Pelodiscus sinensis: one gene and its partners. The protein of the gene in region 4 interacts with the protein of the main gene of each other region in a pairwise test. Links are inferred from orthologs where the notes say so. Each region holds a gene or a part of one and is shown on either strand. Other genes may lie near its edges. The genes, in order: CCM2L, ACOT7, RAP2B and calcium/calmodulin-dependent protein kinase type II subunit beta.

Region 1 (7,978 bases), on a different chromosome or scaffold from region 4:
AGGGCGGCCCCCCCCGCCCCTCCCTTCCCTCCTCATGAAGCCCTTCGCCAGCCCTCTCCACACCAAAGCCGCCTGAGCCAGGCTGCCCGTCCGCTCCCTGCAGCCTGGGGCAGTGGCGCCGGCCCTCGGAGCACAGGGGCTGAGTGGAGGCGGCTCCCTCCCTTACCCGGGCCGTGTCCAGCAGCTGCAGCAGCTCATCCCGGCTGGAGGGGTTCAAGGAGGACGTCACCCAGGTCAGGTGGCCTAAGAACTGAAGAGAGACGAGCCTGAGGCGCCAGGGGCCCGACACCAGGCGCCGTCGACGCAGCATCCGGGACAAGACGGGGCGGCTCCCCTCCCCACCCTGGAAGGCAGCCGGTGGCAGAGTCGCTGTCCCAGTACGCCCCCCACCCCCGCTGGCTTCTGCCAGATCCCCCTCCTGCGCTTTGCCAAGTCTGGCTCCCACATTGTCCTTCTGGGCCTAACCCAGCCCCCCCATCTGGGGTCTCCCCCTTCCTCAGGGGTCTGGCAAACAGAGGCGAGGGACACCATCCCTGCCCATCCTGGCTAATCACCATTGATGGACCGAACCTCCATGAATTTATCTAGTTCTTTTTTGAACCCTGTTCAAGTCCTGGTCTTCACAACATCCTCTGGCAAGGAGTTCCACAGGTTGACAGTGCGCGTGTGAAGAAAAACTTCCTTTTGTTCGTTTTAAACCTGATACCTATTCATTTCATTTGGTGATCCCTCGTTCTTGTCACGGGGTCTGCTCTTCCCCTCCCCACCTCTCTGCAGGGGCTTTTTTCCGCCGGGACTCCCTGCTCTCTTCCCAGAGAGGGTCTGCCGAGTCTTTCCCTAGTGGGATCCCCTCTCTGCCCCCCATCCCCAACTGCTTCCCCAGCTGGGTCTCCTGCCTGCTCACCCCGCAGGGGCAGCTAGAGCGCGTACAGGGCCCCTCAAGCCCCCATTGCGGGTCCGTGTGGGGTGCACTGCCCAGCATGGGGCACATTCCTATACCCCTGCAGGACACAAGGGGAGGGGTCTCCTCTCTGAGTCCCGCCCCGGGTCTCCGAGTGAAGGGGGAACCCGTGGCCGCAACATGTGCTTCCCCCTCAAACAAGCACAGGGGGTGGGCGCTGATCCTGGCCGAGGGAGGGGGTGTCCAGGGGAGCCCATGAGACGAGGGGGCGGCCGCTGCAGGAGGGTTCCCGGCTCCTGGGGCCCAGCCTGCTCTTGCCAAAGGGCCCTGCCGGGCACGTGGCTCTGAAGCTGAAACTTTTGGTCACTTCACAGCTCAAATAGCTCCCCTCAGCGCAGCCTCCCCCGGGCGTTCGCGGGCCCGGTGACCTGGGAACTGGGCATTTGCCAAGCCCCGGAGAGGCCAGGGACCGAGGGAAGAGCCAGGGGCCAGGTGTGTTTGTGGCAGACACGGCTCAGCCCAGTTTGGCCTGTCTCCTCACTCCACATCACCGGGGGCAATTCCCACACACCTGGGGCAGGCCAGGCACCCCGTGCCCCAGCCAGAGGTGAGCCCCCACCCTGGAGCATGGCAACAGGGACCCCTGGCAGGCCTCTGGGCCCCGCTCTGAGCGTCGGGGACGGCCCCTGAGCGGCTGGGCTGCCCCTGTGTACCTTCACCTCCTTCTCCACGTAGTCATGCAGCAGGATCTGGGGGTCTATGAGGTAGTCGGGGGGGTAGAGAGGGACCGAATGCAGAGGCCGCCGGTAGACGCTGCTCCTGATCGCCGGCCTGCGAGCCGCCTTGGGGAAAACGAGCCGCTTGATGGGCGACACAAACCCCTGAGAACAGAGGACGGGTGAGAAGCCGGCACCTCGTCCCCAGCCCCAGAGGGGCTGGCGTTGGCCGTGTACAAACATGACTCTCAGGCGCTGGGTTCGACAGCAAACCCCAATGAGAGGAAGCCGCCCCCCCACCCCCGGGGGTGATCCCATGTACAGTAAAGGGGCCATTGGAAATGCTGAGGGGGGATCTTTCCCAAGAGACAGAGCGAGCTCCCTCAGGAGTCGGCCCCGATGGCGCCATGGAAACAAATCCAGTGAACCCAGGCCCTGGGCCCAAGGCGCCTGCCCAGCGTAGAACAGGTGGGGCAGCGGGTTTGGAGGGAGCGGCTTGGGGGTGCCCTTCCTGTGGGTGGGCTGGGGCTGAACAGCCCCCCAGGTCCAGCCCCCGGGGAGGGAGGAAATGGCAGGGCTGCTCTGAAGGGAGGACTCAAGGATGGAGCTGGGTGCTTCCTGGGCCAAGCTCAGAAGGCTGGATGGCTGCCCGCTGCCTCGCGGAAAAACCCGGCCAAGCCTCGGCCCCAGGTCAGTGGCAGGGGCAAAGGGGAGTAAGAGACCCAAGGGGCAGGCTGCGTATTCCCCTCTGCACAGAGCCCCTGAAGGGAAAGCCCTTAGCTGGCCAGAGAGCCTCATCTGCACCATCTTATCCCATGGGCCGGGCAGGGCAGAGCAGGGCAGAGCAATTCGCCATCCACGAGAGACAGCTCAGCCCCCAGGGTCCTGCATGCAGCTCCCAGCTCCCCAGCCACACCAGTGGCAGCACGGCTGGCCATGGGCTTCTTGGATCCCGGTGGCAGGAGCTCGGCTGGCCACGGGGCTCCCCATATCCCGGTGGCAGGAGCTTGGCTGGCCACGGGGCTCCCTGGATCCAGGTGGCAGGAGCACGGCGGCCACGGGGCTCCCCATACCCCAGTGGCAGGAGCTCGGTTGGCCATGGGGCTCCCCATATCCCGGTAGCAGCAGCACGGCTGGCCACAGGGCTCCCCATATCCCAGTGGCAGCAGCACGGCTGGCCACAGGGCTCCCCTTACCCCAGTGGCTGCCATTCTCCCCTGTACGGCCAGCTCTGTAAAATTCCCACGTACCTGCTCCTCCACGCTGCCTAGGGGGGGCACGTGGGCCATTGTTCCCCCCCGGGCAAGACTCGGTGCCCTGCACTGTGCCCCGCCAGGGCCCACCGCCCCGCAGAGCCATCCTGTGAGAAATGCCAGCTCGGCGGGTACGTACCTTCTTCCCCTTCTTGGCCTCGTACTCCATGTCCTGTCCCTGCTCCGCTCCTGTCACGGACCAGGCAGCTCTTTCCGCTCCGGGCGAGTCCTTTGTTTTTTTCCTGTGTCGGAAACTCCACCAGCCCCGGCTCCGACGTGACCTTGTGGAGTTCCTGCCCCTCCAGGGCGGGAACAGGGCTCGGAGAGCTGGGCGCTGGCCGACAGACGGGGCGCAGGGGCTGCTGGGCCTGCCCTGCCAAAACCAGCTTGCTCACCCCCCCGCCCGGGGCAACACTCGCCCCTAAGGGGCTCGCACCTGCCCCAGCCCCTAGCCCACCGTGTCTCTGGGCGCTGCTGCCGTCTGCCTGTCTGTCCTGCTCACACACGCTGGCTCCATCACACACAGATGCCGGCCCTCGCTCGGCCCCGGGAAGGGGGCTGTTGGCCTCCTTGCGCGGTCGGGCCACCGAATTTTAATAACCCAACTGGGAGAGCGCGGTGGTTCTGCCAGCGCCGTCTTCGAAGGCTCCCCTGGGTCTCCTGCCCGAGCAAACCGGAGCCAAGCACTGCCACTGTCGGGCAAGGCGGGACCCGGAGCAGAGCCGAGAGCCGGGGAGCTGAAATGCTGCCCATGGTGGGGGCTGCACCAAGACCCTGGGGGATTCAGAAACTACCAGCAGGGCTCCAAATCCGCACCCACAAGGGACCCCAGCTGGTGAGCAGGGAACGCTGATGGGAGGCCCAACCCGCCACCCCTGAACTGCGGGGAGCTCGGAGCGGGCTTGGCCCACGCCGTGGAGTGCGGGAGAGAGACACCTGGCCAGAAGGGATGGTCCCCGCCTCCCCCCTGCCCCGGCCCCTGCCCCAGCAGCTGCAGACATGTCCTCTTCCCTCGCCAGCCTGTGGGCAGGAAGGGGACAGACCTTCAGGCGCTGCAAGAGCTGGGGCATCGCTGGCGTCAGGCGCCTCACGAGGCTGCTACGTTCCGTGATTTCTCCTGCACACGGGCCCCCGGGTGAAGGCCACTCGATGCCAGCCAGGGACTTTCCCCAGAGTCGGCACCGCTCTCCCGGGGCCAGTCCCTTCCCTGGGGCGGGCCCGTTGCTGTCCGGGCCGACCCTGCCCCTCGGCCTGTGCTAACGCACGCCCTGCGTCCCCACAGCCTGGCCAGCCCCTGGGCGGCTCCATTTCCTGCGAGGTGCCCTCCGGCAGTGGAAAGTCGGTCCCCCGCCATGTGCCATGTGCGGCGCATCCTTCCCAAGCCCAGCCTGGGCGGCTGTGTCCTGCAGTTCCCCCCACTGGGAATCACCCAGGACCACCCAGTGAGGCTACATAGCCAGCCCCTCAAGTCCTGGTCTTCACAACATCCTCTGGCAAGGAGTTCCACAGGTTGACTGTGCCTTGTGTGAAGAAAAACTTCCTTGGGTTGGTTTTAAACCTGCTACCTATTCATATCATTTAGTGACCCCCTAGTTCTTATGAGAACAAGTAACTGATTTTTCCTTCTTCACTTTCTCCATGCATGTCTTGATCTTATAGACCTCTATCCTGTCCCCCCTTAGTCTCCTCTTTTGCAAGCTGAAAAGCCCCAGACTGTTTAATCTCTCTTCATATGATATAGCACCTGCTCCAAACCCCTCATCATGTTTGTTGCCCTTTTCTGAACCTTTCCCAATGCCAAGAGATCTTTTTTGAGATAGAGCGACCACATCTGCACGCAGGTGTGCCGGTATGTCTGGGACCCCCCGATCCTGCACCCCATCTGCTACAAGATGGGACTCCGGCAGCCAGTAGAATAGAATACAGCACAGCGTAGATGTGATGTGGTTACAGGAGTCAGGGCCAGGCAGCCTCAGACCCCTTGGGGTAGGGGTGCCTAGGCCCCTGGACTCCCAGCGCTTGGCTTAGTCTCTTCTCTCCATGTTTGCCCCAGCCAAACTGACTCTTCTCCAAACCTGCCCCTTCCTTTGTTCAGCCCTGTGACGTAGTGTCCCTACCTTGCTGGTTGCTGTGCTTGGGCTGTGGACTGTAGGTGACCCCTACCGGCCTGTGTCTGTGAGCACGGCCCAGCGGGGGCGCCTTGAGGGCCCCCATGACAGTGACTGGACCAGTTCTAGGAAGGGATGGAACAAAGGAAGTGAGTGTTGGGGGAAGGGTCAGTTTCTGGCTGGAACCATGAAGGGGACAGACTAAGGAGGGGGCTGGGATCTAGGGGCCCAAGGACCCATCTCAAGGGGTCTGCGGCATCCTGGCCCTGACTCCTGTAGCCACGTCACGTCTGTGCTGTACCCTGGAGAAGCAATAACCCCTCGGTTCGGCCAAGTCTGTTCTTGCTGCTACGGTGATGCAGGATCAGGGGGACCCGACGCGCCATCACAAGCCCCGTCCCTCGACAGGTATGAACCGGTTGGGTCACTGACTACGTGCCCTGAGGTTCCTCAGGCGACCCCCGACTGGGCCGTGCTCACAGACACAGGCCAGTAGGGGTCACCCACAGCCCAAGCCTCGCGACCGGCGATGTCCCGACACTGTCTCACGGCAGGATTCAAGATGGGGGCGGACGCTGGATTCAGACAGAGGCAATGGGCGGGTCTCTGTCTTATTCTTGCTCCCTTTTTGAATGATTCCCAGCATTCTGTTGGCTTTTTTGCCTGCTGCTGCACATCGAGGGGATGTTTTCAGAAGCACGTGTCCTGCCCTCTCCCAGCTCTGGGGGAGGGGGATCACACCAACATGCTCGTATGCTGCTCCCTCCCTGCAGCGTGTCTCCCGCCTCACTGACATAGTGGCTCCCCTTGGGAAGGGCAGCAGAGCCATTATCTCCATTTTGCCACTGGGGAAACTGAGGCAGCTTCCCGAAGTTAGGGGCAGAGCTGGAAACAGAACCCAGGAAGTCCTGGACTCCTGGCTCCCCGTCCTCTGGCCATGGGCCACCCCCAGCTCAGCCACAAACAAGTGAGGCAAAGTCTCAGCTCTGACTGCCACCAGCTGTGACTACTCTGCCCCATGGGAGACTGGCGGCGCGTCGGGTACCCCCCGATCCTGCACCCTGTCTGCAGCAAGATGAGACTGCGCTAGCCAGTAGAACAGAGAAGGGTTTATTGCTTCTCCAGGACACAGCACAGTGTAGACGTGGTGTGGACATAAGGAGTCAGGGGCTGGCAGCCCTAGACCCCGTGGGGAGGGGTCCACAGGCCCCTGAACCCCCCGCACTCCGCTTAGTCTCTTCTCTTCATGACTGCCCCTTCTCCTGGCCACACTCTTCCTTTGTTCAGACCCCTTCCCTGGGCAGGTAAGAACGGGTTGGGCCATGGACTACGTGACCTGAGGGTCCTCAGGGCGACCCCCGCTGGGCAGTGCTTACAGACGCAGGCCAGTAGGGGTCACCCACAGCCCAAGCATAGTGACCAGCGAATGCCCGAATGGACAGCACCCCCCACTACATCACAGAGACCAGCTCCTAGCTATGGCGGGCAGTAACCTGGCCGCTGCTCTACCACAAGGCAGCTGCGGGTATGGCTAGAAGGTCCCTTGGTAGCTGGTTCTCTCCAGCCCCATGAAGCCTGCTGCCTCACCCCCCCCCCCCCCCACCTCCCCCAGGCTGGGACACGCCTCGTGGCGCACGAGGGCAGAGCAAGGAGAGGCCTGCAGGCAGCGTGTATTGAAAGGAATTTAATTATCTCATGTCGCAGCAAAATTAAAAATATACAAAAAGTTTGTGGAATACAAAAAAGTCTTAGTACAGAACCTCGGTCGCGTTCCCCCCGCCCCGGCCCAGCCTGCCTCCCGCGGAAGGGAAGGAAGGAGAAGGTGGCACACGCAGTATTTACAGTACACGACGGAAGTGCTCCCGGCTGCCGGACGGGAGGGCGAGGGGAGACACCAACAGCTCCGCGCAAGGTGCTGGGGGCGAGCGGCCCTGCCCCGGCACCCGTCTCTCGTGCAGTAGGGAGAACCCAGCCCTAGGGCTGAGCCCCCCGTCCTTACCGCAGGGGGCAGGCGCTGAACCTGGCCCTGGGCTCACTTTTTTGTCCCTTTGGCTGGACCAAAATCATGGTTTGGGATGTTTTTGAGGGGAGCCGGGTCAAAATCCGCCTCTGGCTCCTGATTTCAAGATGGCCCCCGCCTCGCCCCCCCCGGGAAGGGCCCGTTCCGGCGTTGCTATGGTCAGGGTGGCGTGTGGGGCGCAGCGGTGCATGTGCCCGGCACCTTCTGAGGGGAACGTAACACCCAGCGGCTGTGGGCAGCTTTCCCGCTCCCTTGGGGCCTTTTTTCAGCCCTATTATGAGTCCCATGACGATAGCAGGGAATGGGCTTGTTTTTGGGGGCCGGACTACCAAGTCCCCCCCGACACTAGCCAGGGACTGCCTGCCTGAGAGACAGTGCGGCTGGGCCGGGCCCTGTTCTCCCTGGCAACCGTCCGGCAGGAGTGAGGCGCTCGAGGCCCCTCCGGAGGGATCGTGTGGGCTGAGCCTCATGGGCTCAGGGATTCCCCTCCTGAGTGCCCTTCACCAGCAAGACTCCCGGGTCCGCCTCCCCATCCGCCCCTCGCCCACCCCGCGGCTGCAGGGGTCCAGCTGCCGAGCTGCTGGGAGGTTATTGCAGCGGCTCGGGCGCATCGGCCCTCTCCCCAGAGCCGGGAGAGGGCGTGGAGACCGTGGCTAGAGTGCATAGAAAACTGGCCCTGTTATCCCTTTCCCAGCCCTTGCTCCGAGACGGCTCCTGCCGAGGAACCCGCCCATGGCTCGGTGCACAGCGAAACCCGCCCGGCAGAGCCCCCAGCCCCGCCCTGGGCCACGGCGCCAGCGACCACCTCCGGCTCGCTGCCAGCAGCCCGTCCCAGAGGACTGTGTCCTTTGTCCTAGCCACCTGCCAGCTCGGTGGGACGAGGCCCCAGCCCACAGATTGGGGGATTCCGCACCACGCGCCAGCCACCTCGGGCGAGACCTACCCGCCGGCAGGGAGCGTGGCCAAGCCGTGCAGCAAGA
Region 2 (7,905 bases), on a different chromosome or scaffold from region 4:
ACAAGTCCAAGAGTTTAAAGGAAGCGCAAGAGGCTTGCAAGTCTTGGATCCCAGGGCAGGCCAAGAGCAGGGCAGCAGGGTGCACAGCCGAGTCTGCTCGTTACTGGCCATTGCAAAAATTCAGGTCAAACCAAATTCAAATCTTTGGGGAATGTTGTGCGTGTCAGAAAATCTGGGTCCAGCAAAGCCAGCAGCTGAGCTGACATCTCCTCTTTTGGGTCTTGGAACGGACTTGCTTCCCAGAGGAGGAGGGGTGGGGTCTCAGCGGGCGGGGCACTCACCTGGGACGTGAAGACCCAGGTCCAAAGCACCAGCCCCTCATTAGCCCAACGACTAGTCCAGTTTTTAGGTTAAAAGACAGGAAACAAAGGGTAGGAATAAATGGTAAATGTTCAGATTGGAGAGGGGTAACTAGTGGTGTCCCCCAAGGGTCAGTCCTGGGACCAGTCCTGTTCAACTTATTCATAAATGATCTGGGGAAAGGGGTAAGCAGTGAGGTAGTAAAGTTTGCGGATGATACCAAACTGTTTAGGAAAGTCAAGACAGAAGCAGACTGTGAGGGACTCCAAGAAGATCTCACCAAACTGAGTGATTGGGCAACAAAATGGCAAATGAAATGTAATGTGGATAAGTGTAAAGTAATGCACATCGGGAAAAATAACCCCAACTATACGTACAGTATGATGGGGGCTAATTTGGCTACGACAAATCAGGAAAGAGATCTTGGAGTTATCGTGGACAGTTCTCTGAAAACTTCCACACAGTGTGCAGCGGCGGTCAAAAAGGCAAATAGGATGCTAGGAATTATTAGGAAAGGGATAGAAAATAAGACCCAGAACATCTTACTGCCCCTGTATAAAACTATGGTACGCCCACATCTTGAATACTGTGTACAGATGTGGTCTCCTCGCCTCAAAAAAGGTATTTTGGCCTTGGAAAGGGTTCAGAAAAGGGCAACTAAAATGATTAGCGGTTTGGAACAGGTCCCATATGAGGAGAGGTTAAAGCGACTGGGACTTTTCAGTTTAGAAAAGAGGAGACTGAGGGGGGATATGATAGAGGTCTATAAAATCATGAGTGGTGTGGAGAGGGCTGATAAAGAAAAGTTATTTATTAGTTCCCTAAATAGAAGAACTAGAGGACACCAAACGAAATTAATGGGGAGCAGGTTTAAAACTAATAAAAGAAAGTTCTTCTTCACACAGCATGTTGTCAACCTGTGGAACTCCTTGCCAGAGGAGGCTGTGAAGGCTAGGACTATAATACAGTTTAAAGAGAAGCTGGATAAATTCATGGAGGTTAGGTCCATAAAAGGCTATTAGCCAGGGGGTAGGAATGGTGTCCTTGGCCTCTGTTTGTCAGAGGCTGGAGAGAGATGGCAGGAGACAAATCGCTTGATCATTGTCTTCGGTCCACCCTCTCTGGGGCACCTGGTGCTGGCCACTGTCGGCAGACAGGATACTGGGCTAGATGGACCTTTGGTCTGATCCAGTCCGGCCGTTCTTATGTTTTATATGCGCACCTCCCCACCCCCGGGAATGTCCAGTACAGCCTGGTGGGCGTGTCTGCACCCCAATCCCTTTTGCGAGGAGTGTTCTAACCGGGGGCAGGGCCCTACTCCGGTGTCCCTCTAAGCTGCGCGCCTGCGCACTGACAATTTTAGGTCCGCTCACGGCCTTCAAGAGCCACCACCACTCACCGCTCCCCTTCCCACGGGAACAGACGGCGGGTGCAGCGGCAGCCAGTGGCCTGACGGGTTCCTGGCGGCGGGTGGCTGCCCTTTTGCTCCGCCTGGAGCCGGGGGTGTGAGGTGAGGTTGTTACAGGGAGGCTGCCCCACCGGGAATGGGCCTCGTGTGGCTGCCGCTTCACTCCAAATGGAGCCGGGGCAGCTCGGGGCCACAGTAGCATCAACAGCACTGTGGGCGGCCTCTGCTCTGGTCCTGGCACGCGGTCCCACCCCGGGAGCAGCTGGGGCCAGGGCTGCGGGGGCTTTGGGGCCGTGGTGCTATTTTTAGTACTGCAGTCCCGGCCCCAGGCTCCAGCCCCCGCAAACTGCCCCGGAGGAGAGAGGCAGGGCAGGTGGGCAGAGGGAGGGGATGGGGAGTGTAGCTGCAGATGAGCAGAGTGGGGCTAGGGGAGGAGTGGGCACGGGGGAAGAGAAGGGCTGTTGCAGGGGTCAAGGAGGATGGGGCGGGGGTCCCCGAAGGGCTGAGGGGAGCGAGAAGGGCCCGAGGCAGGACAGCAGAGGAGGGTGGGGGGCAGCAGGGGCGAGGGGAAGGGAGGGGAGGAGACATGGCAGCAGAGGGAAAAGGGAGAGGTTTATAAGCTCTTATTAATAACTTGTGGCGCGCACCCGAACAAGCACCCACAGACTCAATACTGGGCACAAAACTAAGCTAGCCCCACTGATGGGCGGGTAATCCTAGCGGAACACTGCCCTGCCCCCGGGCTCACGGCTGGGATAAGGCACCACCGCCTCCTGCCCTCGGGCTGTAGTGGGCATGGCAGCCAACCCCTTGCGAATCAACCCCCATCACACCCTTCAGCCAAACCATTGGGGAAAGTGTCAAACCCACAAATGTTTCCGGGTCACAAAACCTGCTGTATTGGGGGCGCAGGCCAGCTCTGGTGAGACATGGAGCCCCCCCGCCCCACACACACCCGCTACTGCCACACGGGCTAGAGAGGCTGCTGCAGACAGACAGCTTCCTCCTCCATGCAGCCAGCCCGGCCCCAGCTGCGTGCACTACTTTCTACCCTCCTTCCCTGGGAGACGCCCGCTGTGGCCTGACATGAGCTGCCCGTTACGCGGCAGAATTCGGACACACGAGAAGCGCCGCACACCTACCGGACAAGCTCGCAGGCCATGCTGGCGGACGCCCCGGAGCCGGCGAATGTGCGTGCTGCAGCCGGAGCAGGCACAGGGCTGCACTCATTCACGGTTTGCATCACACGGCTGCTGCTGCTCCAACTCAGCCACACGCCAACTTACGAGTTGAGCAGCTTCCTGTGCTGTCCCATCCAACACAGGAAGATGGGCCCTCAGCCAATCCGCATGACTCACTTAAAACTAGCTGTCCTAGGAATCATCCTGCCCCACAGTTACACAAGGAGTCGCTGCCCAAAGCTGGGCGCTCCCCAGAGCTCTCGGCTGCACTGACTCCCCGCAGCCGGGCCCAGCACCGACCCCCGCTGACCCCTGCACGCCCAGGAAACGCAAACGGGGCCACCGCACCTGGCCCCAGTCCAAGCCCTCTGCCCTGGCCCGTGGGACCCTCATCTCTTCGAGGGTTGGAAGGGTTCCACAAGTTCAGGCCCTGGCTGCGTGGGGAGCTACCTGTGCCTGGAAGCAGCAAATGCCCAGCCTCCACGACACGCTCACCCCTCCTCACCCTGCCCAGCCTGGTGCAGAGCTCCTGCCACTCCCATCAAGGCAGATGCTCGGTGCTCACGGCGTCAGACCCTTGCAAGACAGAGGAGCGAGGAGGAAAGAACAGGGTTCCTTTCACTCGCTCGCTGTCCCCTCGCTGAGGGTCAGTCCCTCGGCCACCAGTGAACGTCCCTACACTCGCCCTCTGGATCCCTGTGACCGCTTGGGAGGGACGTCCGGAGGGGCATGGAAGTACGAGACGGGCTTTTCGCAGAGGCTCATTTCCCTTGGCACCCGACCGACTGACCAGTCAACGTTTGTTAGCGCTAAGGTCGTGCCTAGCTGGCAAAGGCAGCGGAGCTAGAGCCAGCGAAGGCCGACAGGAAGCCCTTAACACTTCCTCCTGCCTGTCAATTCTAGCTGGAGGACAGCACGCCACGCCACACTACGCCTTCGCGGGCAAGCCGAACCCCAGCCCCACTGCTCCCGGGCGTGAGTCACACCCGAGGCTACGTCTGCACTAGGAGCCCCGAGGGGCACAGCAGCTCTGCTGCTTATGCCCTCCACCCATGCCCGGGGTTTTCCTGCTGCTGGAAGGCAGCCAGCCCTGGGGAGGCTGCAGCAAGGCTGGGAGGAGACTTCCACAGCAGGGGTCAGGCGCACCTTGCCATGCGTACGTGCGTGCTACGAGCATTCAACCGCAAGCCTGCGCCGACACTGACCCGCTGCTAAAAGCCGGCACGTGCACGGTCCACGGCATGCACGCTGGCAACACTCCCCCTGGCAGGAAAACGCTCCTGCCAACAAAGCGGCAGCCACACCTGCACTTGCGTGGCAGAGCTCCGGCCTTCACAGGCTGAGGGCGGGCTCACGTACCCGTGAACGACAAGAGGCCAAACGCAAGCCACGAGGCCTGAGCCTGTGTTCCGTGGGGGTATGTCTACACTACCACCCTAGTTCGAGCTAGGGTGACAGACCGGTCAGTTTAACGTCTGTCCCCGGGAAGATAATGGAGCAGGTAATTAAGGAAATCATATGCAAACACTTGGAAGGTAATAAAGTGATAGGGAATAGCCAGCATGGGTTTGTGAAGAACAAGTCATACCAAACTAATCTGATAGCTTTCTTTGATAGGATAACGAGCCTTGTGGATAAGGGAGAAGCGGTGGATGTCATATACCTAGACTTTAGTAAGGCATTTGATACGGTCTCGCATGATATTCTTATTGATAAACTAGGCAAATATAACTTAGATCGGGCCACGATAAGGTGGGTGCATAATTGGATGGATAACCGTAGTCAGAGAGTTGTTGTTAACGGTGCTAAATCCTGCTGGAAAGGGATAACAAGTGGAGTTCCGCAAGGGTCTGTTTTGGGACCCGTACTGTTCAATATCTTCATCAATGATGTAGATATTGGAATAGAGAGTACGCTTATTAAGTTTGCAGATGATACCAAACTGGGTGGGGTTGCAACTTCTTTGGAGGATAGGGACATAATTCAAAATGACCTTAGCAAGTTAGAGAAATGGTCAGAGGTAAACAGGATGAGGTTTAATAGAGAAATGCAAAGTGCTCCACTTAGGAAGGAACAATCAGTTCCATACATACAAGATGGGAAGCGACTGTCTAGGAAGGAGCATGGCGGAAAGGGATCTAGGGGTCATAGTGGACCACAAGTTGAATATGAGTCAACAGTGTGATGCTGTTGCAAAAAAAGCAAATATGATTCTAGGTTGTATCAACAGGTGTGTTGTAAGCAAAACTCGTGAAGTCATTCTGCCGCTCTACTCTGCACTAGTTAGGCCTCAGCTGGAGTGCTGTGTCCAGTTCTGGGCGCCACATTTCAAGAAAGATGTGGAGAAATTGGAAAGGGTACAGAGAAAAGCGACAAGATAGATTAAAGGTTTAGAGAACATGACCTATGAAGTCAGGCTTCATGAACTGGGCTTGTTTAGTTTGGAAAAAAGAAGATTAAGGGGGGACATGATAGCGGTTTTCAAATATCTAAAAGGGTGTGTGACGTAGTGGGGGTACCTGGCTGGTTTCTATGCTGCTGGCTCTGGGGTAACCCCACTGGCTGCCGTGGGTACCACGACCCAGCAAAACAGGATGAGTCACTATGCAAATGAGTATGGCCAGCCACCCCCCATAGAGAGGAACAAAGGAAGGGGGAATGCTGCCCTGGCTGGGGGGCAGGGCTGGAAGAGGGTTAGTGAGTTGCTGTCTGAGAGCCTGGAGGAGAGCCTAGGGAAAGGGGCTGGAGTTTAGGGGCCCAGTCTCCCCCATCTCAAGGGGGCCTGAGGCATCCTAGCCCAGCTCTGTGATCAGATGACATCTGTGCTGTGCTGTATCGTGGAGAGGCAATAAACTTCCTCTACTCCACCGGCTGGTGCAGTCTGTTTGTGCCATTTCGGGGTGCAGGAGACGGGGGACCCCCAACGCGCCGTCACAGGGTGTCACAAGGAGGAAGGAGAAAATTTGTTCCTCTTGGTTTCTGAGGACAGGACAAGGAGTAATGGGCTTAAAGTGCAGCAAGGGAAGTTTAGATTGGACATTAGGAAAAAATTCCTAACTGTCAGGGTGGTCAAATATTGGAATAAATTGCCAAGGGGGGTGGTGGAATCTCCCTCTCTGGAGATATTTAAGAACAGGTTAGATAGACATCTGTCAGGGATGGTGTAGACGGAGCTTGGTCCTGCCTTGAGGGCGGGGGGCTGGACTCGATGACCTCTCGAGGTCCCTTCCAGTCCTATTATTCTATGATCCTATGCAGTCATACGAACTTGCAAATGAAGCCCGGGATTTGAATTTCCCGGGCTTCATTTGCATGTTGCCAGGCGCCGCCATTTTTAAATGTCCTCTAGTGCGGACTCCGTGCCCGCGGCTACACGCAGCACGAACTAGCTAGTTCGGAATAGGCTTCCTGGCGGCGCCTGGCAACATGCAAATCAAATTCAAATCGCGGGCTTCATTTGCAAGTTCGTATGACTACATTAACCACCCTAGTTCAAACTAGGGTGATAGTGTAGACATACCCTGGGGGGCTGTCCAGCTGACCTAAGCCCCAGCAGAAATGCCCCCGCGGACAAGGGGTTTCTCCAGCATCTCAGCGCATGCACCTGCCCTCCAGTCCTTCTCCACATGGAATGAGCCAGATGCCAGGGAACGCTGCGTCATGGGCAGCTGGATCCCCTTAGGGAGTCTGGCCTAGGCCCTGCACCACATCCCGGCTTTAACCAAAGAGCTCAAGACCTTCCTAGCGCCGCCCGAGACTCGCCAGTCTGCTGGGGCCGGCTAAGTTGAGAAAGTCACCGGATCGCACTGGGCTTTGCCTGTGTCGAACTGTGCCTCACGCAGCCCACAGCCAGCTCTTCTGCTGTGAGGCTTGTGCAGACTGGCTGCCCTGGACACAGGCAGACTTAGGCTGGAGGTCAGAAGGACGGAGCAGAGCAGTACACCTGTTTGGAATGTATTCAAGAGACTCCATTTCACTCCCAAGTCTAGCCACACCCCTCAGGAAATTACCCCCTAATCTCACTGGTTAGCACCCCCTCTCCGCCCCGCATCCTTAGAGCAGGCCAGGACGGTGACCCTACTGCTAAACGCAATGGGGAAAACAAAGCCTCCACAATCCCACCTCCTCGGGGAGAGGCCAGCTGCTCGGCTGGTAAAACACCGCGCTCAGCCGGCTGCACGAACTCCGAGGGCAGCTGCCTGCACCTCTCGCTCTTCAGCCCAGCAGTTTCAATCCCGCTCCTCAGCCACTTCGTAGCCACCAAGAAAGCTGTACACCCTGTACAAGCCGCCAGCCAGTCTCCGCTTGCCACCGTCCAACTTCAGCTGCCATTTGATAGCCACACACAAATGTACAGTCCCATTTCACATGCACCCAGTCACAAGACCAGACCTCACTGGCCTGGATGTCGCTGGCTATGTTAAAGCCAGAGACGGACGCCTCCGCATCCTCTCCTCCACGCCTCCGCCAGGCATCCACGAAGGGAGCTCTCATCCCACCTGAGCTAGCAGGAGCCACGTCAAACAGTACCTGGCCCCTCATCTCCCACTCACCGTCTGGGCTCCACGATACCATGCAGAAGTCGCACTCCTCTCTGAAGGGTACATACAGAGAGCCACACCCGCAGCATTCTCGCAGGAGACCAGTGACTATTTCAGTCCAAGAAACACACGCACAGAAGTCCTGCAGAATTCTGTGGCTCAGCCGAGCCTCTACCTGCCTACGAGTTACCACAAGACTGCGTGCAGAGCACTCCAAGCTCACCGGGCCGGCCTCGTATTCAGAGGTGAATATATCTGGCTCTCATCCACGATCTTGAGAATACAAAGCGCCCGGGCTGGAGGGATTCTTCAGAAGCTAGACGACAGAACTCAAATCAGCAACTACAAATATTGGACATTTATGGGGAGGGAGGGAAGAGAGAGATTTCGCCATTTATCTCCCTGGCAGCGAGGGGCAGAGTAGGCATCCAGCCAAATGCTTTAAAGTTAGAATTATCTGCAAGGATTTTCTGTA
Region 3 (7,182 bases), on a different chromosome or scaffold from region 4:
CTTCATATTTAAAAAAAAAAAATCAATGAGGCGAGGGAAAAAAATAGACAAGCCCATTTTTCCCCCTCTTTTGCAAGTTGCATTTAAAATAATAAAGAGTCAATCTTAATGCAGAATTTTCAAAGCTGTATCTTTTCAGTAAAATCAGTAAGGTCTTTAAGTTTATGAATAGAATAGCTGACCTTCAACACTTACGCTCAAATAAACCATGTTAATTCTTAAAGTTACAAAACAGGTTCCAATACTGCAAGCTGTTCTGCATAGAGCCCAAATGACTTCAGCAAGCATTTAGATAAGTGTAGAATACAGCATCTCATGGCACCAGTGCCTAAATATAATTATTCGACTGTTTGCAACATTACCAACAGATACAATAGAAACATTCCCTAGCTTCATGATTTTAGGTAACCATCCCCCATTATTAATATCCTGTTCTTTTGGTTAAACAAATATCACGATTAAAAAAAGCATACTTCTGCCATGATCGCATATTAAAGTTAGTTTTCCTTACAATACATTTAAAAAAAAAACCACAGTTTTGCTGTTTTGTTTTTTTTAAAAACCCAAAACATTTGTATTAAAAGTCTTAAAATGGGTAGACATTAAACGCATGTCTGGAATTAAAGTTACAGTTGTTAGAATGTTCTTGATACATCACAACATTAAGATTTCTCTCTTGGCTGGCTGGAGGTACATCCTACATCAGAGAACCAAAACAAAAGAAATTGTCCCAAAAAACTAAATGCCTGTAAATTTGAATTAAATGCAGTCCAAATTTGGAAGATGTGGAAATGACATTTAAAAGGCTCACATGGAAATAAGAAATAAATTCCACTAAACAATAGGCCTTTTTGTCCTGGCTTGTTCAGTATGATTACTCAAAGGAAGCTGTTAAGTAGTTTCTGGAGTAGTAGATAATGGGATTCTGTGGAGCTTTCACAGGTTGGCACCGGCTGGAACAGCTGAGTTTTGAAGGCACTCTACAGACACAGGGTTGCTGTTGGCCCTGTATCACATTTAGGAAGTCTTTGTACTTTAGAGAGCTAATCAAAATCAGTTATTGCCAACCCAAAAATAAGGAAAACAAACCACCACCACCACCACAAACCTCCCTCCCCCCTGAATAAAAGAAAACACAACTAAAAAAATATTGTGCAGATTTGTAACATTTTCACAGCTGATAAAAAAAAATACTACCGCTCTCCCCCAAAGTCCCATCAGATACAGCAGGTAAACAAAATATAAAGTTTCACAAATGATCAGCAGACACGTTCTGGCACCCCACACTGTATTGGCATCAGTGTTTTCAAGTCCCAGTTCAAATGTGCAATACTTCAGATTGGATACGCTGTAACAATAATCCAACTTTGCATAGAAATCCTCAGAATCAATATCATAGTCACAGGGTGCATTCAAGGTTGGCTAAAGAAGAGAGAGAACCAATCTTATTTCCTAAACGTCCTCGGAAAGATTTCTTCCCCCCTCTGCAATGGTTCTTCGTTTACTGTTCCCCTCAGTTCCTTAGGTGTAATTTAACTCTTCCAGTTAGAAAACAATTGCTAACAAAACTCCCCTTTCTCCAGGACGAAACTTTTCTTACTGGTGTCAGATGCCAATACAGCAATCTGTACTTACGGGAAATATGCAACAATCAAAATAGATGAAATGTACATGCTGAAAAAGCCACGTTTCCAACAATACACCCACCCCATGACACTGATCACTGCCGCAGCAGCAGCTGCTGCTGCTGCCGCCTGGAATCCTTGTGTATGCAAAGTTGTTTCCAATCTTTGTTTCGAACGATCACATTGCTGCTGCTTTTTGTTGTAAACCTTTGCGAACGACACGGCCCCCCCAAGCCCTTTCAGAGGATCACGCAGGACGAGCAGCACTGATCGTCCCCGTTGGGCTGGGAAGCGTAGTTCATCTGCCTGACAATCTCTGCAAACAGTTCGTCCACTGAAGCTTTGTTTTTGGCTGAAGTTTCCATGAAGGGGCAGCTCCACTCCTCAGCCAGAGCTTTGCCTTCCCCATACGACACCTCCCTCTCGCCCTCCAAGTCCACCTTGTTGCCCACCAGGATCATGGGCACCTTTTCGTACCTCTTCACCCGGATGATCTGATCCCGCATAGGCTTGATGTCCTGGAAGCTCTGCTGGTTGACCAGGCTGTAGACCAGGATGAACCCTTGCCCGTTCTTGATATAGAGGTCCCGCATGGAGGCGAACTGCTCAGTGCCGGCGGTGTCCAGGATCTCCAGCACCGAGGGGGAGGAATCCACCTCGATCTCCTTGCGGTAGAAATCTTCGATGGTGGGGTCATACTTCTCGATGAAGGAGCCCGTCACGAACTGCACGGTGAGGGCGGATTTGCCCACCCCGCCCGAGCCCAGCACCACCACTTTGTATTCTCGCATGGCTCCGCTCCGCACACCCAGCTCCTTCCTCTCTGGGTCTCGTCTCTCCCTCCCACCTCCAGGCAGCGGGGAAGGAGGGAGGGGAGAGAAGCCGCCCCGCCGCGGCTCTCACTGGAGCGGAGTGAGCATGCAGCCGGCAGGCGGCAGGGGGAGGGGGGAGGAGACGGGAGGGGAGAGGCGGCAGCAGCGGCGAGCGCCCGGGCAGCGCCAGCCCCCTTGGCGCGGCAAGGGCAGCGCCCAGCCTCCCGGGCCAGGCAGCCGCGGCCGAGCCCCGGCGCAACGCGAGGGCAGCGCGAGCCCCTCTGCCAGGCAGGCGCCGTGCCCGAGCTCAGCAGCCCTGGCAGGCGGGGAGGCGGCAGCTGCCGGCGGGGCGGGGGAGGAGCGCGCGAGGGCTCATCGCCCCCCGGCAGCCAGCGCGTGGTGCGGCAGTCCCGCGGTGCCGCCTCGCGCCGCCACGGGCCATCCCTTCCCCGCGGCCTCGCTCACAGCCCGCCCGGACCCATTGGCTCGCGCTAAACGCCACCCTCTCCCTCCCCCGCCCTTGGTTTCGGGAGGGGGAGGGGGACCACACAGGCACACGCGCCCCCGCCCGCCCGCGGGATTGGCCGCCGCGAGGAGCCCGTCAGGCCGCGCTGCCTCATTGACTCAGAGGTTTGAGCCCGTCCGCCATTGGGTGGCCAGAGGGAGGCGGATGATTGGCCGGCCGGCCGCTGTCTGTCACTCGGCCCGCCTGTCAGCGACTTTTGGCGGATACTTTGCAAAGGGCAGGAGCTGCGGCGGGATAAACTCCCCTTAGCTCCCGTTTAGCCCCAGGGCTGGATAAGGCAGGAGACGGGAGGGGTGCTAGGGATGCTAGAACGGTGTAACGGAACAGTGCGGTCACCGCACCACATCTTACGGTTACATCGCTACTCCATAGTCCTAGGGGATGGCCACAGAGCTTCCAGCCCCACTCCTGGGGAGTCTCCTGCCATCCTGTGCTGCTGCCTCTCTATCAGAGTTAACAGCATATGACTTTAAAAACCAGCGCCCCTTGCAGACAGGCTGCCTGCCGCCCTGCACTGCTGCCTCTGATAGGGAGGCAGCAATGCAGGGTGGCAGCAGCCTCTGTCCATAGGGGGCCACGCTACTCTTTACAGCATGGTCACACTCATTGAGACCCTGCAATCCTCCCTCTCCAGCTGGCCCTGTGCATCAAAATGGAAACATTTCACAGAAAGCTGCCATAGAGGTCCTGGTCTTCACTCTCTTACCTAGCAGTCTAAATTTGCCCCCCGAGGACCTCTCGCCTTCCTTTCCATATGTATTTGGGTACCTGCCTAAAACACAGCTCCCTATGCACACCAGCTCATCTCTTCCCCCCACCTGTGCTGCTACCTCTGATACAGATCATAATAATTCTATCATAGCATTATAGAACTGGAAAGAACCATAAGAAGTAATTAAGCCTAGTCTCTTTATCAGATAGTCACCCCGGGGGACTATCGAGTAGATGTGTAACCTGTGCTCATGGCAGGACAAGCACATCTAGACTAGGGATGTTAAATTGCCGGTAATTGACTAATCAAATAGTGGATGCATTTTGCATAGACTATTCAACTACTTGGTAGGTTGTCTCCACCTTTGAAGTGTAGAAACAGCTCTAGGGTTATTGCTACACATTAAAAGCAAAAGCGCCATGTGGAGTCCAGGATCGAGTCCCCAGCTGACCCCAGGCTCCTTGTGGCACTGCCACTTTGAAATGCTGATGCAGGAGCCCAGAATCAGGCACTCTATGGCGCTGAAAAGTGGCAGCACCATGCGGAGCCTAGGTTCAGCTGGGGACCTGGCATTGGGGACGCGAAGCCTGGGATCAGCTGGGGACGTGGCACTGCCTCTTTGAAACGCCGCAAAGAGTCTGACTCTGGGCTCCCACAGCGGCGTTTCAAAGTGGCAGTGCTGCATGGAGCCCAGGTTCTGGTCCCAGGCTCCACGTGGGGCTGCTGCTTTGAAGGACCTCTTGCTTTCCCTCCTTTGCTGCCTCTATCAGAAAGACCAGTTGACAAGTTTGTTGCATTTGCTTATCGAATAGTTGACTAGTCTTTCACATCCCTAATCTAGACCATCCCTAATAGGTGTTTGTTTAACATGCTCTTAGAAATTTCCAATAATGGAGTTCCCACAACCTTCCAGGCAATTTATTCCAGTGTTTAACCACCCTGACAAGTTTTTCCTAGTGTCCATTCTAAACCTCCCTTGCTGCAGTTTAAGCCCACTGCTTCTTGTCCTATCAGAGGTTAATACAAATATTTTTCTCCCTCCTCCTTGTAACAACCTTTTAGATACTTGTAAGCTATTATCATGTCCCCTGTCAGTCTTCTCTTTTCCAGACTAAACAATCCCCGTTATTTCAATCTTCCCTCATAGGTCATGTTTTTTAGATCTTTAATAATGTTTTGTTGCTCTTCTCTGGACCTTCTCCAATTTGTCCATATCTTTCCTGAAATGTGGCACCTAAAACTGGAGTAGTCTAGTTAAGGCCTAATCAGCCCAGAGTAGAGTGGAAGAATTACTTATTGTGTCTTGCTTGCAACACTCCTGGTTAATAAATCCCAGAATGATGGTTGCTTCCTCCCCCCCCCCCCCCCGTAACATCACACTGTTGACTCATATTTAGCTGATGGTCCACTATAACCCCTAGATTTCTTTCTGCTGAATTCCTTCTTAGACAGTCATTTCCCATTTTGTATGTGTGCAACTGATTATTCCTTGATAACTTGAGTACTTTGTATTTGTCCTAATTGAATTTCATTATATTTATTTCAGACCATATTCAGAATGTTTGGCTCCTATTATTGTCAAAAGGTCCTTAGCCATCAAGATGGCCACTGTTTCCTTGTAGTCTGCATGTGGAAGTGATACTATCCTTAATACAGTTGGCTGCCACCTCCCACTGTTTTCGATTAAATTAAAGCCAGGCCCACAGAGAAAATAGCTGCCACTCTGTGGTTCAGGGAATTGGCTTGGACTCAGAGACTGAGAGGAGGAGCAGGAGCCTGTGAAAGCTGGATGGGGTAAGTGGATCAGAGTACTGGGGAGGGAGACAGGAGTGAGGCTGAGGCATGCGTGGAGGACAGTTGGGGGCAGGAGATGAAGGAAATAGAATGACAGCTTTCTCAGCATGGTGGTAGTGATAGGTAAGAAGAGCTCTCTTTTGCCGGTAGTAGGGATGTAATAATACATATAAAATATTAACCATGCACTAGGGATGTTAAATTGCGGTTACCAAGCTAATCATATAGTTGATACAATTTGTCTGCCGCAAACAGGGTCTCCTTCAGAGTGGAATGCGGAGCAGCCTCTGCCCACGACAGGCCCAGGCTTGCTGTGAACAGAAGCTGCTCTGGGAGATGCAGAGCAGCTACTGTCCATGGGGAGCTCAGACCGCCACCCATGGACACAGGCTACTTCACTCAGATTCCCCTGCTTCTCCCCACCCCCACTGCTGCCTCTGATAGAAGAAGCAGTGTGTGTGTATTGGGGTGAGGAGGACAGGCAGCATTGCAGAGTTGGTGCTGGGGGGAAACGACCTTTAAGCTGGCTCCTCCCAGCGCTAGGGATGTGAATGACTTATCGGATGCAAATGCTTATCAGAGAGTCAACATGCTAGTTGACTAGTCGCTCTCCCCCATTGCTGCCTCTATCAGAAAGATGCAGCGGGTAGGGGTGGAGGGAAAGAGAAGGGGGTTCTTCAAAGTGGCAGTGGGACTCCCCAGCTGACCCCAGGCTCCATGCAGTGCTGCCACTTTGAAATGCCGCATGGAGCCTGGGGTCAGCTGGGGTTAATCGTCTAGTCAACTATTCATTAGCATCCCTACGGGTTTATTGTTCAGTTTGTGACACTGGGCAATTTCTTGAAGTACACATACATCTCTTGAAAATAAACTCAGAACACTGGCAAGTACAATAGTGATAGAAATGTAGCCGTGTTAGTCTGGTGTAGCTGAAACAAAAAACAGGACTATGTAGCACTTTAAAGACTAACAAGATGGTTTATTAGGTGATGAGCTTTTGTGGGCCAGACCCACTTCCTCAGATCAAATAGTGGAAGAAAATTGGCACAACCATATATACCAAAGGATACAATCAAAAAAAATGAACACATATGAAAAGACAAATCAAATTTCAGAACAGAAGGGGGATGAGAGGGGGAGGTAAATGTCTGTGAGCTGATTGAACCTGACCCTGAGCCTCCATGACCTCTACTAGATCTGACCCTATCAGAGATACAATATACACATGTAAAATAGGATAAGAAACTTCATTCAGAATGTCTCTTCCTTTTGTTAGTGAATATCCATTTAAGTCCTATTTTTAACTATAAAGTGAGCTCTCAAGATGTACGTGAAACAGCCCAATCTGAGATCACAAGCTCTTTCCCATGTACTAAGAAGTTTCACTCATAATTTAATTTTGGAGCTATAAGTAATACTAAATGTCATATTGTGACATTCAGGTTCTGTGAGTTGTAAAGTAATATTAATAGTGATAAATCTTACATTTATAGAACATCTTTCATCCAAAAACACCTCAAGAGTATATTAACGTATTGCTTCACTTTCTACTGTCTGAAAAGCAGCCTGCTTTTGGGGCTGATATAATTGGTTTATATTACAATTCATCTAAGATGTCTTAGTGAACCACATGATTCATAATCTTATAAAAAAGATTGGATGGCCTGAGAAAATGCAGAATTGATGAGGGAACAAATGTAAAGTTATTATTAT
Region 4 (7,250 bases):
TGGTTCTGCTGCACCCATGCTGAGCCTGTCTGTCCTCACCATACCTGGCCTTGCGCCTGCCCATTGACGTGATGGGGCACTCAGCTGGCAGCGCCGCACCCCCTCTCCATGGGCACCTCCCGGGCATTGCCACAGACCTTCTCACACCTCGGTTTCTGGGGGGCAGTGTGAGCCGTCGCCACAAGGGCCCAAGAGGCCAGCTGGGTGCAGCTGCCCCAGCCCCCTCCATGCCAGAAAGGCAGTGTGGCCTAGTGCCTAGAGCAACTCAGCTGGGACTCCACGGAGCTGGGGACTGGTCCTGCCACCAGCCTCCTGGGTCTGTCATTTCCCTGCTCCTGGCCTCAGTTTCCCCATCTGTGAAGCGGGTGGCGAGCGCAGCGAATGGCCGCCTCTTGCCGTGTGCCTGGCTCAGAGCCGCTGGTCCCGTGAGCGCCCCCGGCCAGCCCAGCTTCTGCTCTGCACCACCCTGGCAGTGCCCGTTCCCACCTCCACAGAGCAGGGCTGCAGGCGGACAGGGCCCATCCCAGGAGCCAAGCCCCTGGCCTGGACCAAGCAGAGGACCCAGCAGCCTGGCGGCTTCCAGCCCCTCCCTCCTGCCCAGCGCCTGGTTCCTGGAAGTCACCCCCGTCTATTCAGCGATTTCCACTCGGCTCCGCAGCCGGCGAGACAGCGGGGGAGGGGCCATGGGGATTTACTGGGTGAGCTGCCTCGGGGCAGGGGCCTGGGGGCTACCCAACAGCCCAGGCCCCTGGCTCCCTCCGTGCCACAGGCCTTCCTGCAGGAGCAGCTCCGCCCGTGGCCCAGGAAAGGGCTCAAAGCCCAGTGCACCGGGCGGCCAGGGAGCAGGCTCCCGGGGAGACACCACCCCAGGGGGCGGGACATAGGCACCTCCCCAAGGAAGTCCTGCTCCACTGACCCCAGGGAACCCTGAGCTGAGCCATCCCCCAGCAGCCTGGGCCCAGCCCCTCGCCCCCCCCCCCCAGGAGCCTGGCAGCTACTGCTGATCTATTCCCAGGAGGCAGCCCCCACCCACGGCTTCGACCTCACGACTGGCCACGCGGGGCCAAAGTGGGAGTTTGCGGCAGTACTTCTGGGAACCTGGCGTGCCTCAGTTTCCCCATACGTTGGATGGCTACGGGGGGCGGTCGTTTGCTCTCAGGGCAGCCTAAGGGGCATGGAGGTGTCTCCCTCCCCTCCTGGGCCAGTTCGGGGGCTGGCTGAAACCCCGAGGCTCGTCACGTTCCCTGCCCCCGGGCGGGGCAGCCCAGTGGATCCCTGCTGGGGGGGGCCCGCGGGGCAGGGACCAGCCCGAGCTCCGGGGGGAGGTGGCGCCCCTGGAAACCGACACGGCCTGGCGTGGGCGGGTCGGCTCTGCCCTGAGCCGCATGGACGAGCCTTTCTCCGGGCCACGCGCGGACTCCGGGGGAGTGGAACCCGCCAGCCGCGCGCAGCGAGACCCCCGGGACCCGACACACGCAGCCCCCGGGCCAGCCCTTCCCCAGCCAGCCCGGGCCTCCGAGAGCGGGGAAACCCAGCGGCCGGGCTGCAGCGGGGCGGGAACCCCCGGGAGGGGTCACGTCCCCCCCCCCACGCGCAGGTCGCGCCGTGGCCCGGCCCGGCCCCGAGCCAAGAGGCCTCGCCCCGCAGCCCAAGCGGCAGAAGCAGGGAAGGGGCCGCGAGCCGGTGCCCGGGGAAGCCGGCAGGCGGGGGGGGGGGGGGGGGGGGCTGCCGGAGCCGCAGTTTAGCCCCCCCCCCCCGGTTGCTCGGGATTGGCTGTTTTCGGGGGCGCCCCGCATCCGCGGCTCAGCTGGAGACCCCGGAGGCCCCGCGTCCGGGCCAGCGCCGAGCGCCCCCGCTCCCAGACCCAGGCCGCCCGAAGGGACCCCCCGAAAGACGCGTCGCTTCCGGCAGCCGGGGGGCGGGGGGGACATGGAAGCAGCCGCCGAGGGGAGGGGAGGGGCGGGGGGAGCATCCCCGGAGCTGCGCCCCGACGAGCCGGGCTCCCCCGCGCACGAGAGCCGAGGACGCGGGCCGAGCGCACAGGCGGGGCAGCCCAGCCGGGCAGTAGCAACCTGTAGGCGGGGGGGGGGGAGCGCTGCCAGCCTGGGGCAGGGTGCCAGGGTGAGCGGAGCCTCCCCCGGCCCGGGGCATCACCAAGAGCCCCCCAGCCAAAAATCAGCGGGGGGGGGGGGGGCGCTTCCAAATGCAACTGAGGAGCGGGGCGGGGGGGTGGCGGTTCCCGGGGCTGCGCCGAGCCGGGCAGAAAAACCACCGCAGTGGGGGAAGGGGGAGCCCGGCCGGAGCCGCTGCCTAAAAATACCGGCGGCTGCAAGAGCCTATAAATACGCGGCGAGCCCGGGGCGGGGGATCTCGGGTTTCTGGCACAAGGACCCGCTGGAGGGCTGGTGCCATTCTCCAGATGGTTCCCATTCCTCCCGCAACGTGCGTCACGGCTGCGAGCCCAGGCGGGCAAGCGAGCCCGGGCCCCTGCCCCCCGGTCTGCCGCGCAGCCCGGCACATAGCAAGGGGCAGGCTGGGGGGGGGGGCAGCCAGAGCAGCGGTCCGGGCCAGGGGAACCCCCGGCGGGGGGCACCCGCCCATCGTCCAGCCGCCCCCGTGGGGCGCCCCCTCCGCGCCCGGGAAGCCGCCCCGTGCCCCGCACCCGGGGGCAGCCTCCGGCTCCTCCCACCAAGCCCGCAAGGGAGGGTGACCCCGGCCCCGCAGGGCGCAGCCCCCCGGCCCGCGCGCCCCGGCCCCGTGCGCCCTGGCGCTGCCGCGGCTCCTTACTTGCCAATTTCCTCGTACAGCTGGTACTCGTCGGTGAAGCGGGTGCAGGTCACGGTGGTTGCCATCGCGGCTGCCGCTTCGCTCCGCACTGAGCTGGGCTCCGGCTCCGCCTGGCAGCGGGGGAGGGAGGGGCTGGCAGGGGCGGGGGCAGGAGCCACCCAGCCCGCTGCGCTCCGAGGCGCTCTGCGAGCGGCTCCGGCTCCCGGCGACCCCCCCCGCCCCGCACACACGCGCCCCGCCGGGGGAAGGGCACCAGCCCCCCGCCCCGCACCCCGCGGGGGGGACCCCGCAGCCAAGGGAGGGCCACTGCCCCCAGCGCCGCCCTGCACCCGGGCCATGGGGTGGTGCCAGCCCCACATCCTTGGAGGCAAGGAACTGGCCATGCGAAGAGCCCCCCAGGCCCGGAGCACCCCCCCCCCGAGGGTCCCGCCGCCCCCTACGTGCCAGCCCCAGAGCCCCGCTCCAAGATGACAGCTCCCTCCCCCCCTTGGCGTTTGGCACTTGGCCAGGGAGGGGGCAGGTTGGGAGGAGCTGGTGAATGGGCTGGGTTTTGCCTGACCCGTCTGTTCCTTATTGTGGCCAGCCAGGCAGAAATGACAGGGCCCGCCCCAGGCGGGGGCAGGGGTCTGCCAAGGGGCCAGGACCTTTGCTAAGGAGGTGGCACCGTGGACACAGCCCCTCCTGGCCTCCCCCCACCCCCTCTGCCATGCCAGGCCCTCGCCCCGTCCAGAGCCACCGGGCTGGGCACGGAAGGGCCAGCAATGCTCAGTACAGAGGGGTGGGCGCCCATCACGCCGCACCCCCAGGTGCCACCCAGGCCCTGCCGGAGGGGGGCTCACCGGGTCACGGCGCATGGCCTGGCAATGGGGCACCAGCAAGGGAGACAAGGGCGGCCCGGGGACGGGCTCCCCAGGGCGGCGAACTGCCCCTCAACACCCGCCCCCAGCGCCCAGCCGCCCCGCCTCTGGGCCACGGGCAAGGTGCATGTCCGGCCTCCAGCCAAAAGGCACCGCAAGAGGCATATGTAAATGAGACAACGCGCCCCAAATAAGCCACGCCCCCTGCCACATCCCTCTCCTCCCCCAGGAGAGCTGGAGAGCAACCCCCCCAGAGCGCCCAGCTCCGCCCAGCCCAGCCGTTCCAGAGCTCGGGCCAGGGGTTGCACCCGCCTAGGCCGGAAAGGGGCCGACGCGCCCTCTGTGCCCCACTGAGCGGGCGAGAGCCACGGCTGCAGTGCGAGGCCCATAGGCAACTGCACTTGAGTTTCAGTGGAAGCTGCCTCACTCTCACTGGCATCTCAGGGCGCCTTGCCAACGGGGCAGCGGCTTTGTGCCCCTCCTGTGGGTGGGCAAACCGAGGCCCGGAGCTGGTGGGGCGGGGAGTTGCCCGCTGTCACCCAGTAACCGTGGCGCAGGGGTGGCAATGGCGGGGGAGGGGGAGAGGAGTGCGGACATCCCCAAGCGTGGAGGCGGATTCCTGCCATCGCTCCTGCGGCAGCCGGGGGAGCCAGGCTGCCTTGTGGGCTAGGAGATGTCTGTGCCCGCGACCCAGGGAGTGAGGCCAAGCCGCACTGACGAGCCCCACTCAGACCCAGTGCCGGTGCCACGGGCCACCCAGCGCCCCCAGCTCCAGCTCCAGCAAGGCGCCCGGGCCCAGCACAACCCTGTGCCACGCCAGCCCGCTCCGGAGAGCCCTGGTGCTGCTGCCACCTCGCTGGAGAGCAGGGGCGTCTGAGAGCAGTGCTGCGTAAGGGGCGCCCTGCCAGCGGGGGGCAGGAGACGGAGCCAGGGCACAATGTGCCCAGTGCAACGGGGGAGAGGACCCAGGACAGGGAGCGCCAGGGGGCTGGGGCCAGTTGCAATGGAGCTCTAGGAGGGGTCATGGCTGGGCTGGGTGTAGCAGCTTCTTCATCTCTAGCTCGGCTCTCTGGGCTTGCTCCAACCCGGGGTTCACAACCCAGCCTGGTGAGCCTAAGGCGCCTCCCTCTGGGCTAACAAAGAGGCAGACAGGTCCCTGCCTTCAGCCCCACCTGTGCTCCTTCGCCCCCTTTGCACCAGGGCCCTGAACCTCCCCTTGCAGGGGGTCAGGAAGGGAGCCCCCTGGTAAACACCAAGGATCCACTTCCGCAGACAGAGCCACTGGCCTGCCTGCCCCACCCCAGGCAGAGCAGATGTCAGCCCAAGCTGGGAGCTCCACACGCCCCCGTCTCCCCTCCCTTCTCCTGGGAGCGGCGCTTTCGCCCAGCAGCTGTGCTCAGCCACAGCCAGTCAGCTCCCTCACCCCTTTGGGGCCAGCCCCCAGTGCGAGACCAGCGTCAGAGCCAGGAGGGTCTTTGGGGGGCTCCTGGGTGCTGAGGGGCCACGTCTGCCAGCTCTTCTCCCCAGCGCAGGGAGACACTCGCCTTGTTCCACATGCAAGGGGAGTCTCATGCAGCCACCTGGCGCTGGAAGGGGCTGAGACGGGGCCCAGGCCCACAGGAAGGGAGCTTTACAGCGACTGCAGGAGGGGCGCCCGAAAGGCTCCGAGGCCACGTTCCCGGTTTGCCACCCGGCAGCCTCGCCACTCAGCGCCAGGGGCCGTGTCCCGGGGGGCGTCTCGGGGGAGGGGGGAACGCCTAAAGATCAGGGCCCGGCTGCCTTCTCTCCGGGAGCTTGTCCGCCTTCCGCCGGGGTCGGACAGGAGAGAGGCCATTGGAGTGTTCCAGCCACACGATTCCCACGGACCGGCGTGTTCTCCCTCCCAGCACCCGCCTTGCCTAGCGGACGAATCGGAAACGCCAATTTCTTCCCTCCCCTTTTCGTCGCCAGCGCTGCCCCCGGAACGCAGGGAAGCCCCTGGCGCTGGAAAGCGGGAAGCGGAGGCACAGGGAAGCTAACTGACCATTTGGGACGGAGCAGGGCCTGGCCGCTGGCCTCTGTGTGCTCTGACCCTGGGCCGGTCTGCACTACTCTGGGCAGGTGCTGCACCACGGAGCCTGCTCCTGCCTGGCCCCTGTGATGGCTATTAAGTGGCTGACACAGAGGACACCTGTGCCCTGCCGTGCGGGGCGCTGGGGCCTTCGAGTGGATTTAACGCTCCGGGCTGGCGTGCAGGGCGGGCTCAGGCTCTCTCACGCTCACGCCCGCCGCCAGGGATCAGCAGCCGGGCTGCCTGCTGTCCGGCCGCTCCCCTCCGCAGCGGCAGGAGCCTGGAGCGCTCTCCAGCACTGCCCTGGCCTCACTGCGCCTGTGACTTAACGCCAAAGGCCTGGCGCCAGCACGCGGCCACGCAGGGCTCCCTGTGGCGGGATCCTGCCTCAGCCTCCCCAGGCAAGTCGCTTCACTGGGTTCGGCGATGCGACCGTCCCTTGCGGACAAGGCCTACATGGGCCTCTGTCAGGACCAGCCACCAGAGGGCAGGATGCAGCTGTTGGCTAGGCAGCAGGACCAGGCTGGGAAGCAGGCTCTGGGAGGGGAGTGGGGTCTAGTGGTTAGACCGACCGGCAGTGCCCCGTTCACTGACTGGGCAGGTCAGTGTGGCTGAAACTCAGGTGTGGCGTCAGGACCCCGGCGCGCCCTCGGGCAGCATCTCGCCGATGTTCTCGGTGAATGGGGGACGGGTGCAGAGCAGGAGCCCTTGCTCCGGAGCAGGCACAGAAACAAGCAGCAGCGTGAGGCAGGAGCTCCCAACTCCCGGCCTCTGCCAGCCGCTGTGACTTCTGACCCTGTTCAGAGCCGGCCCAGGGACCAGAGGGCCAGGGGCTCCCCCGTGCGGCTGGGAAACGTGCAGGGAGAGCTGGGGGTTATGAACGCGCCTCGGCAGCTCTCCTTGCGTTTGCACCGATGTGGGTCAGCACAGGCACTCGGGGTCCCCAGGACCATGCAGAAGGGTGGGTTGGCCGGGCTTTGGTCTAACCCGCCTATGGCTGCCCTATGCGAAGAGGCTGTAAGACACTGCTCAGAGCCTCTGAGGATCGGGGCTACAGGGGCCTCCAAGCCAACCCAGGGCCAGGTCACCACCCAAAGCAGAGGCGCATGTGGGCAGAGGGGTCACGCTTCAGATGCCATGAAAGAAGGGCCAAAGCTCAAGCAATTTTTAAAACGTCATGACTGACACAGCAAGGCCAGAGGTGCCAGGCTCTGAGCCGCCAGGCCCGGAGGTGCCAGGGCTCAGCCGGGCACAAATGAAGCACCGGCGAGGGGGCTGACCGGCTCTGACGCTGGCAGGGTTTGTGGGTCTGGGAAGGCGAGGCAAGAAAAGACCAGGAAGCGGAGGGAGAAAGCAGCAGGCAAGCGCCGGTCTGGCTCTGCAGCACAGGTGTGTGCAGACGTCGGGGCTCCGTGGCCAGGCGCTCTAACTGCAAGATGGCCTCTGTTTGTGGGGAGTCCTGGCCAGGCCGGCCACACTGGGCACTGGTCCACCCCCAGAGCTTGGGTCAGCACTGCGGTCCCATGAGTCGCAGCCTGGGGAGGAAGTCAGACCAG

The links.
Region 1: the proteins of calcium/calmodulin-dependent protein kinase type II subunit beta (region 4) and CCM2L interact in binary tests that used the Homo sapiens proteins (3 or more experiments, as listed by UniProt). The two-hybrid records come from large-scale screens. The link is inferred for Pelodiscus sinensis from reciprocal best matches to the Homo sapiens genes CAMK2B and CCM2L.
Region 2: the proteins of calcium/calmodulin-dependent protein kinase type II subunit beta (region 4) and ACOT7 interact in binary tests that used the Homo sapiens proteins (3 or more experiments, as listed by UniProt). The two-hybrid records come from large-scale screens. The link is inferred for Pelodiscus sinensis from reciprocal best matches to the Homo sapiens genes CAMK2B and ACOT7.
Region 3: the proteins of calcium/calmodulin-dependent protein kinase type II subunit beta (region 4) and RAP2B interact in binary tests that used the Homo sapiens proteins (3 or more experiments, as listed by UniProt). The two-hybrid records come from large-scale screens. The link is inferred for Pelodiscus sinensis from reciprocal best matches to the Homo sapiens genes CAMK2B and RAP2B.

The regions. Positions count from the first base shown.
Region 1 is NC_134728.1:1,517,896-1,525,873, forward strand, and holds the start of CCM2L (cerebral cavernous malformations 2 protein-like), read right to left. Parts: upstream 3,004-7,978; 5' UTR 2,907-3,003; coding exon 2,868-2,906; intron 1,783-2,867; coding exon 1,615-1,782; intron 251-1,614; coding exon 167-250; intron 1-166.
Region 2 is NC_134733.1:24,105,455-24,113,359, forward strand, and holds the start of ACOT7 (cytosolic acyl coenzyme A thioester hydrolase), read right to left. Parts: upstream 3,009-7,905; 5' UTR 2,952-3,008; coding exon 2,851-2,951; intron 1-2,850. UniProt on the Homo sapiens protein: Catalyzes the hydrolysis of acyl-CoAs into free fatty acids and coenzyme A (CoASH), regulating their respective intracellular levels.
Region 3 is NC_134720.1:28,159,889-28,167,070, reverse strand, and holds the start of RAP2B (ras-related protein Rap-2b), read right to left. Parts: upstream 3,006-7,182; 5' UTR 2,417-3,005; coding exon 1,865-2,416; 3' UTR 1-1,864. UniProt on the Homo sapiens protein: Small GTP-binding protein which cycles between a GDP-bound inactive and a GTP-bound active form. Involved in EGFR and CHRM3 signaling pathways through stimulation of PLCE1.
Region 4 is NC_134738.1:4,672,335-4,679,584, forward strand, and holds the start of calcium/calmodulin-dependent protein kinase type II subunit beta, read right to left. Parts: upstream 3,013-7,250; 5' UTR 2,853-3,012; coding exon 2,788-2,852; intron 1-2,787. UniProt on the Homo sapiens protein: Calcium/calmodulin-dependent protein kinase that functions autonomously after Ca(2+)/calmodulin-binding and autophosphorylation, and is involved in dendritic spine and synapse formation, neuronal plasticity and regulation of sarcoplasmic reticulum Ca(2+) transport in skeletal muscle.